4 linked regions of the Saccharomyces cerevisiae S288C genome follow. Changing the gene in region 3 together with the main gene of any one other region gives a genetic interaction. Each region holds a gene or a part of one and is shown on either strand. Other genes may lie near its edges. The genes, in order: SER3, GND1, VAS1 and IDP2.

Evidence for each region.
Region 1: mutations in VAS1 (region 3) and SER3 together harm fitness more than expected from each alone (negative genetic interaction), as found in Saccharomyces cerevisiae (one large-scale study listed by BioGRID).
Region 2: mutations in VAS1 (region 3) and GND1 together harm fitness more than expected from each alone (negative genetic interaction), as found in Saccharomyces cerevisiae (one large-scale study listed by BioGRID).
Region 4: mutations in VAS1 (region 3) and IDP2 together harm fitness more than expected from each alone (negative genetic interaction), as found in Saccharomyces cerevisiae (one large-scale study listed by BioGRID).

Annotation. Positions count from the first base shown.
Region 1 is NC_001137.3:320,889-325,109, reverse strand, and holds SER3 (phosphoglycerate dehydrogenase SER3), read right to left. Parts: upstream 2,425-4,221; coding exon 1,015-2,424; downstream 1-1,014. Other genes in the region: UTP7 (Utp7p), read left to right, coding at 1-838; AIM9 (Aim9p), read right to left, coding at 3,264-4,221. UniProt on the Saccharomyces cerevisiae protein: Catalyzes the reversible oxidation of 3-phospho-D-glycerate to 3-phosphonooxypyruvate, the first step of the phosphorylated L-serine biosynthesis pathway. Also catalyzes the reversible oxidation of 2-hydroxyglutarate to 2-oxoglutarate.
Region 2 is NC_001140.6:468,438-472,929, reverse strand, and holds GND1 (phosphogluconate dehydrogenase (decarboxylating) GND1), read right to left. Parts: upstream 1,971-4,492; coding exon 501-1,970; downstream 1-500. Other genes in the region: SSP1 (Ssp1p), read right to left, coding at 1-186; RGD3 (Rgd3p), read right to left, coding at 2,354-4,492. UniProt on the Saccharomyces cerevisiae protein: Catalyzes the oxidative decarboxylation of 6-phosphogluconate to ribulose 5-phosphate and CO(2), with concomitant reduction of NADP to NADPH.
Region 3 is NC_001139.9:669,803-676,270, reverse strand, and holds VAS1 (valine--tRNA ligase), read right to left. Parts: upstream 4,086-6,468; coding exon 771-4,085; downstream 1-770. Other genes in the region: exosome non-catalytic core subunit RRP46, read left to right, coding at 1-600; DRN1 (Drn1p), read right to left, coding at 4,360-5,883; serine/threonine-protein kinase DBF2, read right to left, coding at 6,364-6,468.
Region 4 is NC_001144.5:502,744-506,876, reverse strand, and holds IDP2 (isocitrate dehydrogenase (NADP(+)) IDP2), read right to left. Parts: upstream 2,287-4,133; coding exon 1,048-2,286; downstream 1-1,047. Other genes in the region: pseudouridine synthase CBF5, read right to left, coding at 1-743; TAG1 (Tag1p), read right to left, coding at 2,630-4,133. UniProt on the Saccharomyces cerevisiae protein: May function in the production of NADPH for fatty acid and sterol synthesis.

The sequences.
Region 1 (4,221 bases), on a different chromosome or scaffold from region 3:
AGTGAACAGCATTGCTATCGATAGAAGCGGGTATTACATGGCAACCACAGGGGCTGATAGGTCGATGAAAATTTGGGATATCAGAAACTTCAAGCAACTACATTCTGTGGAAAGCTTACCGACGCCAGGAACAAACGTTTCCATTTCAGATACTGGTCTATTGGCATTATCTAGGGGCCCTCACGTTACGTTGTGGAAGGACGCTTTAAAATTAAGTGGAGACAGTAAACCGTGCTTCGGGTCCATGGGAGGGAACCCACATAGAAACACCCCTTACATGTCACATTTGTTTGCCGGAAACAAAGTAGAAAATTTGGGATTCGTACCATTTGAAGATTTACTAGGTGTAGGCCATCAAACGGGTATTACGAATTTGATTGTACCTGGTGCAGGTGAAGCCAATTACGATGCCTTAGAATTAAACCCATTCGAAACCAAAAAACAAAGACAGGAACAGGAAGTCAGAACCCTATTGAACAAACTGCCAGCAGATACAATTACTTTAGATCCGAATTCCATCGGTTCAGTGGATAAAAGGTCTTCTACCATAAGGTTAAACGCTAAGGATTTGGCGCAAACTACAATGGATGCTAATAATAAAGCCAAAACCAACAGCGACATTCCAGATGTAAAACCTGATGTGAAAGGTAAGAATTCGGGTTTGCGTTCCTTTTTGCGTAAAAAGACTCAAAACGTTATTGATGAAAGAAAATTAAGAGTACAGAAACAACTGGATAAGGAGAAAAATATTCGTAAAAGAAACCACCAAATCAAACAAGGCCTAATTTCAGAAGACCACAAGGATGTCATCGAAGAGGCATTGAGCAGATTCGGCTAAATCGAAATATCTTTAAAAAAAAAACTTAAATGATTATGTATGTATATATAAAATAGATAATCATTATTATTGCCTCAAGCATTCTTCTATCCATTTTTTTTTTGGTTCTTTTTAATATTTTATAGGAAACTTTTAATCATGTTCAAAAAGTTGACAGTATGAGAATCGATTGCATATTAATATAGCAATCTAATTGAGATCTTAGCAGAGGTTTGATTTAGTTGTTCATAAATATCTTTAATATCGCTTTGGTCAACAGAAGAGATATCAGCCATTAAATAAGCAATTTCACCATTTGAATCGGAAAATTGCTTTTCGATGTTATGGTTCGATAAAATATCATTGACGGTCTTCAAAACACCTGGTACATTTTGGTGAATGTATAACACACGCACAGTGTTCTCTTGGTCGTAAGACAATGATTTCAATGCCACTTCTGGGAAGTTGACTGAACCGACAGAGTTACCTTCATTGATGTATTTGGACAATGCGGTAGCCACTTCAATACCGATTGAGCTTTGGGCTTCTTCGGTAGAGCCACCAATGTGTGGTGTCAAGATGATATTTGGTAATGAAACTAATTCAGAAGTCCAGCTATTTAGCTCATCGTTAAATGAACCTTCACCGTTCTTAGCTGGTTCATGTGGATAAACATCCAAAGCAGCACCTGCAATTTTGTTGGCTTTCACGGCTTGGATCAAAGATGGAATGTCCACGACAGTACCTCTTGAAGCATTAATAACATAAGCGCCATCCTTCATAGCAGCAAATTGTGGGGCAGATAACATTTTTTCAGTTTCAGGAGTAGCTGGTACATGTAGTGTCACAAAATCAGATTTATTCAACAATTCATCTAATGTAGAAACTTGTCTGGCAGTACCCAAGGCCATGATAGTTACAATATCGTAGTACAACACATGCAAACCCATAGCTTCTGCAAGAACTGATAATTGGGAACCAATGTGACCGTACCCAATAATACCAAGAGTTTTTCCTCTTACCTCCCAACATCTAGCAGCAACCTTATTCCATGTACCGGTATGTAATTCGATAGATCTATCACCTAGTTGTCTTGCTAAACTAATGATTTCAGCGATGACCAATTCTGCTACTGATCTTGAGTTGGAGAAAGGCGAGTTGAAAACAGCAATACCTCTGCTGGTAGCGTAGTCTAAGTCAACTTGGTTGGTACCGATACAGAAACAACCAATACAAACCAGATTCTTCGCATGTTGTAAGACATTTGAAGTTAATCTAGTCTTTGATCTGATACCAATAGCATGAACGTCCTTGATCTTTTCGATCAACTCTTCCTCGGGCAATGAAGATTTATAGAATTCGACTTGGTAACCTTGCTCTTCGAAGATTGTAATAGCAGTTTGATTAACGTTTTCTAATAGTAAAATCTTCATATCACCCGTTGAGAAAGGCTTCAAAATTTTTGGGTGCTTTACAGCATTCAAGCGCTGTGGAACGGTATTCATGAAAGATTGCGTAGGTGAAGTACAAACAGCGCCTGGGGAGCCGCTCATATTCATAGCTTGTTGAAAGGTATTTTGTAAGTTGTTAATGTCAATGCTTGTCATTGCTGTCGATTTTTCTGTGGTTCTTTATAGAGTTCTGTATTTTTACTAAGATAGTTGACAAGTATCAAAAAGTGAAATAACTAGAAATGGTTCTTCCTTTATATACATAACAGTTTTAAGAATTTCCTTATCCTCTGCTCCCTCCTTCCAACAAAGTAATTACTCATAACTTGGATATTTGTCTGATTTTTTCATCCCGCTCAGAAAACCCTGCACGGGCAGCGTTGCATTTTCTTAATTTTTTTCTCGTGGTAGAAGTCAAGGACAATAAATTGCGAAATTAGGTGGGAACGAGAAGAATAATTAAAGTGCTGAGACCGAAGTTGTTCCCCTTGAATTCCATTTGTGAGTAAATATCGAAAATGGGTCCACAAAAAAAATTAGGTTTTTCTAAAATATTAGGTCCAGCCTAACTGCTTAACCAAATTTTTAATTTGTGATATTTGCACATAGCTTGGCCAAACAAAGGCATTACTCGATTGTGAGTAAAAAACTAAAACAATGTAGATAATCAGGATTAAACAATGGCATTTCTATGGATTTGTTGTTCTCTTTATATATTTGAGGAAAATTCAAAGATAATGGGGAGAAAGGTGGAGATGTATCTCCACCTATCGTAAATTTGAAAGTTCCGCTTTTCCGCCAATTGCACCCAAACATCACGCAACGCTTTTTAAAACGTTATCAATATATCCAATCCAGCATTGTTAAGTTGATTAGTAAATGGAAGAGATTCCATTGTGTACAAAAAAGGGTTTTAACTTGATTATTTTGTTATAACGTTCTATACAGTTGAATGAGGTAAAGAAAACAAAAAAATATTTCATTTTTAGTATAGATTATTTGGTAGCTTCAGGTTGCTTCACGGTGTAGTCTCCGTTCTCTTGCTTAACAATACTGCCGGAATTTAATAGTTGATCAAACATATCTTGAGGAATCCACCCTTGAGTGGCAGCAAATGGTGTAGAGATTAGCTTTTCGTGTAATTTTTGCAAATCCTCAACATGTCTTTCAATATCTTCTTTACTATAGTTTAGAGGAAACTTTTTCTGATTCACTAACTCATTCTGGGCAAAGATGTCCCAAACTTCCTTCAATTGCAATAGTGATTCATCAATAAGTAAATACTCTTCTTCCGTTTTTCTTTCGACAGCTGCAATATATGGGCTTCTCAGTAGCTTAACAGGTGGGGCAACTGCAGTAATTAATTTAGGATTATTGTCATTTAATTTTTTCTCCCATTGATGTTGATTACGGGTGCGCTTGTACATGAACTGATATTGCACCTTTTCCGCCTCAGATAATTTGTCAAAATCGGTTATGTCCTCCTTTAAGTCATAAATCTTGGGCCCATCATAGGCGATGAATTGTGGCGAATTCTGTAAAATGAAAGGTTTTGTGCATGCTCCTTCAAAATCTAATAGATAGGCTTCTTGTGCTTCTTTGTTAACAATAATATTCATGGGGTCTAGATCAGGATGAAACAAACGTGGTGACAATAGTTCCTGCATATTTGGAATGGCCTTTGTTTTGACGTTGAATAAATCCGGGGCAATCTTAGCTAAATTTTCATAGGTAGTTATTTGCTCCTTCAAAGTTCGAGGATACATCAATTCAGCTGAACTTCCTGCCTCTTTCATGGCTATTCTAGTTTTAGCATTTTCAGCTTCCAATAGGCCAGTATTTTTAATTATATCCATTGGAGACTTCTTTGGCCATGGTCCCAAAAAAGGTTTCATTTGTTTATGAAAATCCAAGTGAGATTTATGTCTCCAGAGACATCTTTCCACGGATGGC
Region 2 (4,492 bases), on a different chromosome or scaffold from region 3:
ATAAAAATTCTTGTTAAATATTTCAGGAACATCCTCCTCTCCTTGGTGGTTGTTATTTTTCCCATTTTGTAACCACCTGCGCATTCTTTCCCTAAATTTGGTAGGCTTTTTCTGCTTCGACTGCTTTGGGGAAGTTGAGGTTATTTCCCCAGAAGGATCATTCTCATATGTGCCAGAGCTTCTCATTGTTGCTAGCTTTTCTACTCTACTTCTATCATGATAATAGGCACTATTGTGAAATTTTTCACTTTTATTTTATTTTCTGACTTCATGATTTTGTGTCGCCTGTTTGCCTTTCCTTACGTAAAAAAAAAAAAAGAAATGGAGATAGTTTCGGGACCCCGTTTATAAACCTTTAATATTTTAGAAAACACATAACTTCATATACTATTTATAATTGCATTTGGATTTATTTATCTATTTATTATTATGATTACTTTTACTATAACTAATCTATTTCATTAAATTTTTTTGGTTTATGTCCAGGTTGGAGATTTCCTTTAAGCTTGGTATGTAGAGGAAGAAACATTACCACCGTGGCCAGTCCAGTTGATATGGATATCCTTGTCTACTGGCAAGTTGTCAGAAGCACATTCTGGCAACACTCTGAAAGTGTGAGCACCAAAGTAGTCACGTTGAGCTTGTAGTAAGTTGGCTGGCAATCTTTCAGATCTGTACCCATCGTAGAAAGACAAAGCGGTGGAAAAGGCTGGTGTTGGGATACCGTAGGTGGTAGCCAACGCAATTGACTTTCTCCAACCAGATTGAGCCTTGGTGACGGCATCAGCGAAGAACTTGTTGAACAACAAGTTTTCCAAATCTGGTTCTTCTCTGTAGGCCTTTGTGATTTGACCCAAGAAAACAGATCTAATGATACAACCACCTCTCCACATCAAAGCGATGGCAGGGTTGTTTAGTTTCCAGCCATAAGTAGCAGCAGCTTCACGGATCAACATGAAACCTTGAGCGTAAGAAATAATCTTGGAAGCATACAAAGCTTGTTCCAAATCATCGACAAATTGTTCTCTGTCCTTGACGGCGTCTTTTGGAACTTCTGGGCCTGGTAAGACCTTGGAGGCTCTAATTCTCTCGTTCTTCAAAGCAGATAGACAACGGGCAAAGACAGCTTCACCAATCAAAGTAACTGGCATACCCAAATCCAAGGCGTTGATGGCAGTCCACTTACCAGTACCCTTTTGACCAGCAGTATCCATGATTTTTTCAACTAATGGCTTACCGTCGACGTCGTCGAATTTCAAAATATCTCTGGTAATTTCGACCAAGAAGGAATCCAAGACACCATTGTTCCATTTGGCAAAAACGTCACTGATTTCCTTATCGGTAAACCCACCCAATCTCTTCATGATGTCATAAGCTTCACAAATCAATTGCATATCACCGTATTCAATACCGTTGTGAACCATCTTGACGTAGTGACCAGCACCGGCTGGGCCAACCCATTCGCAACATGGTTCACCGTCGGATTTAGCAGAGATGGATTGGAAGATGTTCTTAATATGTGGCCAAGCTTCTTCAGAACCACCTGGCATCAAAGATGGACCGTAACGGGCACCTTCCTCACCACCGGAGACACCAGAACCAACGAAAAGAATACCCTTCTTCTTCAATTCTTCGTAACGTCTATTAGAATCTGGGAAGTGAGAGTTACCACCATCGATGATAATATCACCCTTTTCCAAAAGTGGGACGATTTGGTTGATCAAAGCGTCAACTGGAGCACCAGCTTTAACCAAAAGCATGACCTTTCTAGGTCTCTTCAATTTGGAGATGAAATCTTCAATGGAAGTAGCACCGATGATAGATTTGCCCTTAGCTTCATTGGCCAAGAAATGGTCGACCTTGGATTGAGTTCTGTTGTAAGCACAAACAGTGAAACCGTGGTCAGCAGCGTTCAAGATCAAATTTTGACCCATGACGGCCAAACCAATCAAACCGAAATCAGCAGACATTTTATTGTAGTTTTTGTATAGAAAGTGGCTTTTTTCTGTAATGGCAACAATACAGGTTTATATGTATCAGGCTATTTACTTTATTATGTAAGAAAGGACCCCACTAAGAAAAAAGGAAACCTTTGAAAAAGAAACAAGCTCAGGAACAATACTGCAGCTTTTAACGAACATCAGGCCCATTTATATAATACAGCCTCGAAGCCCACCAAGGCCAAAGCGCAAGGCCGCGTGGACCACCAGGACGAAGCACCGCGTAACACCGAGGCACCGTAATGTAACACCGACAGCCACAATAGGTACAAAAGCAGCACAACCTCGAGGCGGGACGAAAGAACAGAGAGGTAGCAGGTGATTTACGTAGTTACTATGTAGCATGCATGGAGTTATGTAGAAGGGACATCGTTGACGTTGATGGGAAGGAATAAACCACTCTTACGTTTAGGTCTCTCTGGGGTTGTCGGAGTAGAACTAGTCTTGAATGGCCGAGGTATGAAATGGCCATCCTTGTCGTTTGGCGGTGGCTTAGGGGTAGAGTGTATAGGTGCCGTTGTATCCTTTATAATTATCGTCGGCGGTTCAGTGAGTGTCGCAGTAGTTGCCGTCGTGATCCTGTTTGCGATCAACGTTTGCAAAGTTTCTACAGTTCTTTCGTTGATGAAAAATGTAGATAATGTTGGTGACAAGATTTTGATGTCGATAGGGTTCTGTAAGCCTGTTCTTCTTACGAAGTGATGGGCCAATGGTATGTCTATGTCACTGTTGTCTCTAAACAAATCTTGTATTGTTTGCGGCGGAAGTGAGTATTTGCTATTGATCAATTGAAAATGGTTTGCTAGTTCTTGTAGAAACCTTAAGGAGCTCGTCGGAAACTGTTCACATAGGGATGTTAGCGATTTTTCGGCCTTAATTAAGTCATCGTAGTGGTTTGAAGGTATTAGGCTGTCGGGTAGCTCTAACAGCCATAATTTTATCAGTCCGACGAGATCATTAGTGACATAGCTGTGCGAGTTTTCAAAAAAATGAGCAGTGATTATAGAGTTTGTATTTTCGGTAGTTTTCGATCCTTTGAATTCCCCCAATAAGTCTCTTTTCAAATTAGAAACCCTTACAAAATCAATATCCCTGTGCCAACTTTGTATGACTTTATTAGCATTTGGTTCCTTTTCAATCTGCCGCAGTATAATCTTTATTGCCCCTAACGTATCAAGAGCAGCCAGTTCATTATTTATTTCACTACCACAGAAAAACTTTTCGCTTTTTATGGAGATTTCTTTGCAAGCGTCGACTGGATCACTCGCTTCTAGGATATTCCACCTGCGAAAGGGTATGCCATTATCCCTGAGGAAAAACCCTCTTACATCCGCATTGGCAGTTTCCTGTGGCAGTTGTGCTTCTTGTAGAGAACACACAGGTGAGTCAGTAAATTTTTCACATTTTTGTTGAAACATCATGTTTGATGATTCTAGAGCTCGTTTGATTCCGTCCTCCATTTTAGAGTAATTTTTACAATAATCATAAATGGTTTTTTCCAACTGCACTTTAGAATATTCCAACTGGCAACACTTGGAGAAAAAAATATCTTGTGATGATTCAAGTTGCTGTTTTAAACTCTTCCACTCATTTTTATTCATATCTGTACTTCCCGCTGCATCGCAATCATCATTATCATGTTGACTAACTTTGCGGATCCAATCGGATATAGATGTTTTGATAGATGAAACGTTGGACTTTTCTTCGTGTTCATTGTCGGAGTGTGTTAACTCACCATACGATTTTTTTTTTCTGTTTCCAGCATTACCATTACTCTCTTGCGTAGCAAGGACTTCACTGTTCCAGTAATAGTATTTTTCCTGGTCAAACTGAGAAACTTTGCTAGAGTAAAAACTCAGGGAATATTCTTGTATTATACCCAGTTGGATGAATTCGTTACCTATCCTATCGATATTAAATAAGGACAGGTTTAGTCTGGGTTCAAGTTTTTTCAATTCTTTGATCAATGACCTGCCTTGGAAACTTTGATTTGACAATCCTGGAACGGAAAAGACACTTTTCTCCAGGATGACTTTTCCCTTCAAGGTTTGCAAAAATGACATAAATTGGTCGCAATCCTCAAATTTTAACCTCTCGTCTAAAGTGTAAGGAAACTCGCATACGAAGTTCAACCTGGTTAACGGTGCACTATCCTTTCCATTATCAAAAACAGAGGAAGAATTTTCCACTGGCGTATTGGCTTTTTTCAATTTATATATAGACTGAACTCTTTTCTCACATCCAATTAGTGCCTCTTTAGCTGCGACTAAATCCTTAATGTAAGCTGAATAACGAGATGACAAATCGTTTTCTGCCTCACGAAGGAAGCTCTCATTAAGATCTCTTAGTTCTTGCAATGGAATTTTACAATCTCTTTCAACTTGCTCTGTTGATATTATATTAAACTGTTTGCTCATCACTTCCAGCAGCCTGCTATTCATTGAATTGGTTGCTTCCATTTTTTGTAAATTGTTCAATGTTGGTTTCCAAAA
Region 3 (6,468 bases):
AAGGTTATTTGTTCTGTAACAGGCCCTATTGAACCAAAAGCAAGACAAGAACTGCCTACACAATTAGCATTAGAAATTATTGTACGTCCCGCGAAAGGGGTGGCCACAACAAGAGAGAAGGTACTCGAAGATAAATTACGGGCAGTTCTGACCCCACTCATCACTCGTCATTGTTACCCAAGACAGCTCTGCCAGATAACTTGTCAAATTCTGGAATCTGGTGAAGATGAAGCCGAATTCTCCCTGAGAGAGCTAAGTTGTTGTATAAATGCGGCATTTTTGGCTTTAGTTGATGCAGGAATTGCCTTAAATAGTATGTGCGCAAGCATCCCTATTGCAATAATCAAAGACACTAGTGATATCATTGTCGATCCCACTGCCGAGCAATTGAAGATTTCGCTCTCTGTCCACACTTTAGCTCTGGAGTTCGTCAATGGCGGTAAAGTCGTGAAAAACGTTTTATTGTTAGACAGCAATGGTGATTTTAATGAAGATCAATTGTTCAGTTTACTGGAGCTGGGTGAGCAAAAGTGTCAAGAACTTGTCACAAATATAAGAAGAATAATACAGGACAATATATCACCTCGTCTAGTTGTATAGCCATTATAGATTATAATATACCACAACATGCTATGTCGTATGCCGGAGACTACCTCTTATATTTGGAAATAGTTATTATTCAATGTTCTAAAATTCTTAACATTTTCGTTGTTACATATACATAGCATATATATATATATATATTACATTAATTTTTATCTACCTTCAATCTACAATTTCAAACGCTTCAAGTTTTCAATAGTAGCTTCCAAACCTTCGATTTCGGCAACAGTGTTATCCAGCTTGCTTTTATTGGCTTCCTTGGCCTGTGTATTAGCCTTTGTTTCGTAATCCTTACTGTTAATGGTTTGTTCAATACCGTTCTTGGATTTTTTAGCCTTTTCAAGTTTCTTTTGAACTTTCGCAATTTCAGCATCAATATCAACGTGTCCCTTGACGAGAAGATGTACATTGACTTCTGGGTTAACAGATTGCAATACGCAACCTTCTGGAATTTCGGAAGCATCACGAACAACAGTGACTTCGTCGATGGCCTTGATCAACGAGACAATAGAATCTTTCTGATCTTCAGCAGTTTTGAAGTATTCCTCGTGGTTAGATTCAACGAAAACCTTACCATTCTTCAAAATATTGTACTCAGATAACAAGGAACGAGCTTCTTTGGTAATGTTCAAGACCAAGTCGTAAGCATTGGCCGATTTGACATCATCGTACTCAGATACGTAAACTGGATAAGAAGCTTTTACAATTGAGGCAGCCTTCTCAGTGGAACGCTTTGGAAGTCTTTGCCACATTTCTTCAGAAATGAATGGCATGAATGGATGGATTAATTTCAAAGCGTTGTCCAGCAAGATATACAATGTATCCTTTGCGGACTTCTTTTCAATAGCAGAGCCTTCTTGAATCAAGTATTTAGAGTTCTCGATGTAAACATCACAAATCAAATACCAGAATTCGTAAATACTGCTAGTGGACGTCAAGAAGTCACGTTTATCTAGAGCTTCATTGACAATTTTCGAGGTTTCAGTCAGCTTGTGCAAGATCCATTTTTCAACCAAGGATTCGTTACCTGATAGACCTTCAGTGGCAGGTGGTTGATAATCGTCACCGAGTCTCATCAATGCAAACTTGGTAGCTTGGTAGATTTTGTTACAGAACTTTCTGTAACCTTCGACACGTAAGATATCTAAGTTAATATCACGACCACCAGTGGTATAAGCACATAATGCAAACCTCATAGCATCGGTACCACATTGAGGAATACCGTTAGGGTAGGATTCCTTTTGACCGATCTTAGCTTTTTCAACTTCTCTTGGATCTAAGTTACCTTGTAATAATTTTGCATGCAAATCATCCAACTTAATACCAGTAATAACGTCTAGTGGGTCAATAACATTACCTAAAGATTTAGACATCTTACGACCTTGAGCGTCACGGACTAAAGAGTGGCAGAAAACTTCCTTGAATGGAACTGAACCGGTCAATTTTAAGCCCAATAGAATCATTCTAGTAACCCAGAAGAAAAGAATATCCCAACCAGTTTCCAACATAGAAAAGGGGTAAAAAGTTTCCATGTCTTTAGTCTTCTCTGGCCAACCCAAAGTGGAGAAAGGCCACAAACCGGACGAGAACCAGGTGTCTAAAACATCTTCATCTTGTTCCAGAGTAAATTTGGAATTAGGGTATTTGGCAGCAGCCTTCTTTTCAGCTTCCTCCATGCTCCTACCAGCAACCCAATAGTCACCATCAATTCTATCGTGTTCTTCGCCTTCGATATTAATAAAGTAAACTGGACAACGATGACCCCACCATAATTGTCTGGAAATACACCAATCTTGGATGTTACCCAACCAATGGAAATATTCAGCCTCAGAAGATTTGGGGGTGATGGTAATTTGACCATCCCTAACAACCTTAATAGCATCTTTGGCCATTTCACTTTGAGAAACCCACCATTGAGGTTTCAATAAAGGTTCAATAATGTCACCAGATCTGGAACAAGTTGGAATGGTCATTTCATTATCTTCTTGGCCAACGTATAGGTTCTTTTCCTTCAGCTGCTCAATGACCTTCTTTCTGGCATCAAACCTCTTCATGCCTTGCCACTCTGGACCACACTCCTCGTTTAATAAACCATCGTCAGTCAAAATATTGATGAATTCCAAATTGTGACGCTTACCGGTATTGTAATCGTTTTGGTCATGGGCTGGAGTGATCTTAACGGCACCAGTACCGAATTCCATGTCAACAGCTTCCTTGTCGGTGATAATTGGAATTTTTCTTGGTAAGAAAGGATGTTGGATGAACTTACCATGCAAGTGTTTGTAACGGTCATCATCAGGATGAACTGCAACGGCAGTATCACCAAATATAGTTTCAGGTCTAGTTGTAGCAATGATCAGTTTTTCATCGCTACCGATAACTGGATAAGCAAATGATGTTAAAACACCAAATTCAACCTTTTCATCATAGCCTGGGACTGATAAAAGCGTTCTACTTTTAACGTCCTTATTTTCGACTTCCAAATTAGAGATAGCGGTATTCAATTTAACAGACCAATTAACTAATCTGGACGCACGATAAATAACACCTTCATCATGTAGTCTAACAAAAGCTTCTTCAACAGACTTGGTCAATTCTGGACTCAAAGTGAAAGCTTCGCGGCTCCAATCATAAGAAGCCCCCAATTTTTGAATTTGGTTCTTAATTCTGCTATGGTATTCCTCTTTCCATTCCCAGACCTTACCAACAAAAGCTTCTCTTCCATAGTCATGTCTAGTCTTTCTGTCCTTAGCCCAGATTTGCTTCTCCACAACGGACTGAGTAGCAATACCAGCATGGTCGAAACCTGGCAAGAATAAGACAGTTTTACCTTTCATTCTGTTATATCTGATCAAAGAATCTTGGATAGCAATAGTCAAAGCATGACCAATATGTAAGGCACCAGTGACGTTTGGTGGAGGTGCTGGAATGCAAAATACACCTTCTGGTTTAACCTTACCATCAGCGGTAAACTCAGGTTCAAAAACACCAGTCTTGATCCACCAGTCATACCAAGAACTTTCAACGTTAGCAGGGTTATAAGCTTTTAAAGCCGGATCATCCAAGGATACTAAGATTTTTTTCTCACCTGGAACAGTTTTGTCAATAAATTCAGGGATTGGCTCAACTTCCTTCTTTTTCTTAGGTTTCTTTTGAGATGCACCTGTGGTGGCAGCAGCATTTTTTTTAGCTTGTTTGGCAGCGAACTTTAACAGTTTTTCAGCCTTTTTCTTCTCTTTTTCAATTTCCTTAGGAGTCTTTGGAGAGCCATCTTCCTTTAACGGATTAATGATGACCTCACCAGTCTTTGGGTCAACTGGAGGCAAATTATCAAGATCGCTCATTTTAAAGAACCTGACTTGATTATGAGTTAACGACTTCTTCAGAGAAAAGTTTTGACAAAGTGGTAATGATCGCCTATAATGACAGTTCAAAAGCCGAAAAGTGAATGTCTTAGATAATGTGTTTAACCACTTATTCATACCATCTAAGTAATTCCATAAATCTGAAGGACATACAACAACGATGACAGCCAGTGGTAGCACACACAGAGAACACCAGTAGGCTGTATGGGTGACTCTTCTAAAAAAATTTTTTCAGCGCGGTCTCTCGAAGAACTTTACCCGGTTTTTCTTTTAATTCATCACCTCTGAGTTGCTAGGTCTCTTAAACGTTCAGAGGTAGCATGACTTAGTATTCTACATATATATACATATATTTGGATATATTTGAAATTCTAAATGAAATAGTTTTAGTTTAGTTTTCTGTGAGAGAAATGTCATAGGTCCTGTAGGCCTTTTGAAACTTTTCAGCCTCTATAGTCTCTTGTTGCTTAGTTTGTAAACAGGTTGAAGAATTCCATTTCACCCTGCGTGGCAAGTTAAGTAAAAAGGCTAGTACACGTCGTCCAAACTGCAGATCTATTGTCTCACTGGCATTAAATGTGGCCAAATATATCTTTGGGTCCGCTTCAGGAGTCTCGTAGACGGTAAATTGTAAATAATTATTGGATTGGTTGTTAATTACATCCACATATTGTTTGGAAGAGTGTGAATCGTAACATTGGAACTCTAGCTTAGCATTTCTTGTGAATTTTTCGTTATTGAAATGAACCTGTCTATCTAAGGCACTGCAGAACTTTAGAACGAGGTATTTTGGAACGGGAATAACTTGTTTGTGGAAATGAATAGAACGTTCAGACTGTATTTCGAAGACAATCGTGCACATATCAAATTTTATGTAGTTCATCTTCACAAGACTAGCTTCATAAGCCAAAATACTCTGTGTCAACTCTGCGTTCTTGCTTGGATCTAATTTCGGAATATGTTCAATGGGAATAATGAGGCAATGGCCTGAGATATCCATATCACCCTTAGGAACACTTAAAGGTCCCTTCGCTGTGGTTAAATACACTAGTTTGCCGATTGATATTATCATATGATCCTCGAGGTTTGGATTTGAAAAGCAGAAATGACAACTTGACGGCAAAATCGTTCGAATTTTTTTATTTTCATTCTTTTCTCTATTAGCAAGTACCTGTTTGTCTCCATCGAACGAATTCTCTGTTTCTGTTTCTAGTGGCCTTTTATTGCTGTTTGTAACCACGCTATTATACGGGTTAGCTATCAAGTTGGGCGGTTCAGGTTCATCCTTTAGTTCGTTGTCCCCTATTGGCATATTGAATGCATAGGCCCATTTCTTTCCAGATCCATATTTTGGAATATTGAGGAACCTCGATAAGCGCTCTCTTTCCCACTGGAAAGGCTCTAATTCGTAAAAGTTTATTTCATCTGAAAAGGCAAAATGGTACCTTGCTTGTAACTTTTTCGCCAATTCATCAACAACTTCACTTCCAGACAACCTTCCACATCTCTCAGAGATCGAAAGGCCCCATTCTTTTGTAAGGAGAATGTCTACCTGATCCTCACTTTTGCCAAATTCGTCCAGTATGCTTTTTTTCTCCCCTTGAAGAGTATCATCCGGATAAATAAAATATGAAAGAGTGATTCCATTTGCTAATTTATAAGTACCCATATTATGCAGCAATGTTACATTTTCATTTATCTTTTTGGATTTCGAATTGTTAGCCTTATCACACGATAGTAGTATTAGTTGAGGTAACCCATCAGTATTCAGCTCAAAATTTTCATCATACGAGTTACTGAATATAATTATTAGATCAAAGGGCCCTGATTTTTCATTCACTTTCTTGATCTTTCTGATAGCCTCATCGGCATCGCTTTCACTTATATGAGCTACTAAAATCTTTGCATTTGTCATCCTATTTTTATATGTAAGTTTTTGAAGTGAAAAAGATATCAGTAAACCATAAGCCCTTTTTTATATATTATGGATCCTTCTAAGAGAGCTACCTTGCGTTTTTTGTACATCTAGCAATGTAGTATCAGTCCAATTTGTAATTATCATTGAAAAAACAATTGATGTTAACACCCATTCCTTTTCATTTTTTGCAGATTTTCGATTAATAGTGGTCATTGCTGTTTTCCTGTAAAACATTACCAAGTTTCGCCGCTCCCAACATGAATGCTTAAGTTTAGTTCAAAACGGTCATGGGATGGACCGTTACCGTGAACTGAGATTTTAAACAATGGGCTTGAAGTCCTAAGTAATGCACAACTATATATATATATATGTATATTTATGAAAAAAGCGTTCATAGGTGCTAGTTGAAAAGTTTGCATGAAGCTCGTTAAAGCTAATTATATCGCGGCGAATGCAAGACAAGAATTCATTTTTACGCTAGTAAAAGGTTGAAAAGGGGTCTGAGTGTTCCAGTCCGTTGAATAAGATGCCACTGGAACCCTGTTTACCATTTCTATGTCGGAAAGTGAACCCAACAAGTTT
Region 4 (4,133 bases), on a different chromosome or scaffold from region 3:
TCTCTTGTATTGTCGTAAACCCATTGGGCATCCATAACATCATGTAAAGTGACCATGTTGTCATTTTCAGACAGAGCACCGGATCTAACACGACGCAATTCTTGCATGTGACCACCAACACCTAATAGCATACCTAAATGAACACACAAAGTACGCATATAAGTACCAGCTTCACAGGAAGCCCAGAAAACACCTAAGTTTCTCTTGTTATCGAACTCAATCAAGTTTGACTCATAGATAGTACGAACACGTAATTGTCTCTTAACAGCAGAGATTAAAGGAGGTCTTTGGAAAAGCGCACCGGTCAAGTTTTCTAGTGAGCGGCCCAAATCCTTTTCATCCTTCAAAGCATCATGCAATCTGACAATACACACATACTCCTTACCAGCACCTTGTTGAGACTTAACCAACCTGGTAGCTCTGTCAATACAAACAATCAAACAACCTGTAACTTTTGGATCCAATGTACCAGAGTGACCAGTCTTCTCACAACGTAAGATTCTTTTGATCCAAGCTACAACTTCGTGCGATGATGGGTTGGAAGGTTTATCTAGATTAATGACACCAGAGCTGATATATGATTTCAGGTCTCTCTTTAGTGGTGAACTACCAGCTGGGATAGGGGTATAATGACCACTTCTGACTAATAACTTATCAAAATTCTTCAAAAGTAATGGCCATTCACTAGTGTCAGTGGAAGCACCTGCAGCTTCAGGCTTAATAACGAAATCCTCCTTTGACATTGTGTATATCGGTCCTCTGTGTAGGTTGTAACGAACTCCAGATGATAATGAATCTTTAAAAAAAAAAACCAATAAAAAATGTTCTGAAAACTATCTTTACATTATATTTTTCCTAAGCTAAACATCTCATCATTTGAAAATTTTTCAAATTTTTTCAGCATTTTCTTTTTGCGAAGAGGGAAAAGAAGAAAGAAAAATTTTCAGTGAGAACAGAAGATCATATGTTACGAGTAGAAAATACTAAAAGTTTTTCGATAAAAAGGGAATATATAATATAAATAAATCAATCTGTCATTGAGTAAGTTTACAATGCAGCTGCCTCGAACTCTTTTTTCAATCTAGATTCCACCGCGTCAATGAACTCCTCGGTAGTGACATAAGCGGATCTTTCAGACTTACCGAGAATGAGCGCCAAATCTTTAGTCATGATTCCATCTTCTTGCACTGTATTTACCGTAGCGCTTTCCAATATTTGGCCGAACTTAACTACATCTGGAGTATTATCAAGTTTACCCCTTTGAATAATACCTCTAGTCCACGCGAAAATTGATGCAATGGAATTTGTTGACGTCTCCTTTCCTTGCTGATGCTGTCTAAAATGTCTTGTTACTGTACCGTGGGCGGCTTCGCTTTCAAAGGTTTTACCGTCCGGGGTAATCAACACAGATGTCATTAACCCCAAGGAGCCAAATCCTTGTGCAACAATATCTGATTCTACGTCACCGTCGTAATTTTTCATGGCAATTATGTATCCACCTTTAGATTTCAACATTTGGGCCACCATATCATCAATTAAACGGTGCTCGTACCAGATGCCAAGGGATTCAAACTTCTCTTTATAACTTCTAGCATACATGGCTTCGAAAACATCTTTGAATTTACCATCATACTTCTTCAAAATAGTATTCTTAGTAGTGGAATATAATGGTAACTTCCTTTCAATGGCCAATTCAAAGGAGGCCTTCGCAAACCCTTCGATCGAATCTGTAGTGTTGTACATCATCATGGCAACCCCACCATGTTCTGGGTAGTCAAATACCTTCAGATCTACATCATGAGTTCCGCTCTTGGATTTATAAACAAGCCTCAACTCGCCTTCTTCAGGGACTATTACATCGGTAGCTTTGTACTGATCGCCGAATGCGTGTCTCCCAATGATGATGGGCTTCTCCCATTGAGGAACTAGCCTTGGAATTCTAGGGATAATAATAGGTTCTCTGAACACTGTACCACCCAAAATGTTTCTAATAGTACCATTTGGAGATTTCCACATCTTTTTCAAATGAAATTCCTCGACCCTTGCCTCATCGGGTGTAATAGTCGCGCATTTGACAGCTACTCCATACTTTAAAGTCGCGGTGGCAGAATCCACAGTTACTTGATCATTAGTCTGGTCACGATACTCCACGGAAAGATCGTAGTACTTCAAATCAACGTCAAGATAGGGCAAGACTAACTTGTCCCTGATTAAATGCCAGATTATTCTTGTTTGCTCATCGCCGTCCATTTCCACAATGGGGTTAGCTACCTTAATCTTTGTCATTACGATTTTATATATATACGTACGTTACCTTCTTACCTCCTATTCTCGTGCCTGAGCAGCGACTGTAGTCGACAAGTCAAGAGTGTAGTAACATACAATTGCAGGCTGTCATTTATATATCATGCCGGAGACTAGTTTGCCTATAGCCAATTCCAACCGAACCAATAATGTTAAGTCCGGTTTTTGATATTATACTCCACCCCCACTATTCCTAGCCCTGAAAGGTATCAAAGAGAACACTGATGATTTGACTACTGCATATTCTTCCCTTATTTCCTTATTTGCCGATTTTCGGACCACCGGCAATGACATCCCGGAGTTATAAAAATAAATAGATAGACGTTCACGTGACCAAAGTGTCACCCTCTCCGGCTAACCCGGTGAGAACCCACGGGCCCAATGCCGTCGTAAGTGACGCATCTATCGTCGCATTAAAGTGAATAACTGTAAAACCCTGGAATAGTATTTCGTTCAGGGTTCGTGTTAGTTCCAAGCTATTGACGACTTCCATGTCGTCATTTTCTAGATCAAATTGAAGCTTCATCTGCGTATTTCCTGTGTCCTCATCGTGCAGAATGTGCGATGAAGAGTTGATCCATTGCTTCATGGGTAAGTTTAAGAAATTGATGTCGTTATGGTACAGATCGATCTGTCCCCGAATGGTATCGATGCGAACTCGGTCTTGCTGGTGCGTCTCGTAGAAGGATAGATCAAAGAATCCTAAAAATGTCCCCACAAGACTGAGCTTTTTGCGCGCTGCCCACCGTAGCTGAAGATCGTTGATCTGAAACTCTTGAATCAATTCACTGGAGTTAAACGTAGCATTGGTAGTAATGGGAATAAACGATGCTTCTTGGAAAATATCCTCCAGCATGTCTGCTGGAATCAATGAGTTATTATCTATACCATCTTCAAGGACATGGCCTCTTGCTGCGAACGTAACAGTCTCGTTCTGGTTCAGGACCGCATTCACTATTTGGCTCATTGGTGTAAGACTATTTTGAGGACATTCTTGGTATAGTAGTTCATCGGGCAGAGGACCTTCAATTTCATTTTGTAAACAGACGACGATATTATCCTTGTCGTGGTGCAGATTAATCGGTTCGTTAAAGCAAGACAAGGTTGGAATTGCGATAGCAGGCTCACCGTTACAGTCCGGTAGCTTGATTTCCCAATTGATGAAAGGGATTGACGTGCCTGGCGGAAGGTGAAGCCAGTCCACCCCTCCAAGAATCGTGATCGGATTCAGTCTCATATCGGCATGAAATCCATCAGAACTGGAGTCCCGCAATGTAAATCCTTGAAGAGATATTCCATCGATCATATTTTGAATCATCCGAAGGGGCGTTGCCGATATTTTTTCCCAATCAATAATATCTTTCCAATCTAAGATTTCGTCATTAAGTTTCAATAAATTAAACCTCGTGCCAAATTTTCTCTTGAAGATAGTCATATCTAAATTCGATTTTATATTTAAGGATTCAAAATCCCTATTCCAAAATTTTTTCAAAACTTTTACGATTTTCCAAATAGACGGTTTAACTAAAATTTTGAACTGTAGGTTATTAATCTGTCGGTGAGCCAAATTAAAACAAATGGGTTCCATGCCAACAACATCTCCCAGTTTATTCTTGAACACTAGATCTCCATCGAATGTGGTCACGTTATTCAGATCTATACAAATGGTTTTAAGAACTTTTTCATTGATGTACCGTATCCAGTCACGTTGGCTTCTGGCGTCCGAGTCATTTTCCGTTCCTGGCCATTTGTCATAATCGAACCAAATTTGAGAGTGTATAGACACCTGCAAATACTTACCTGTATCATTGTTCAGGTCAGAGCCCATA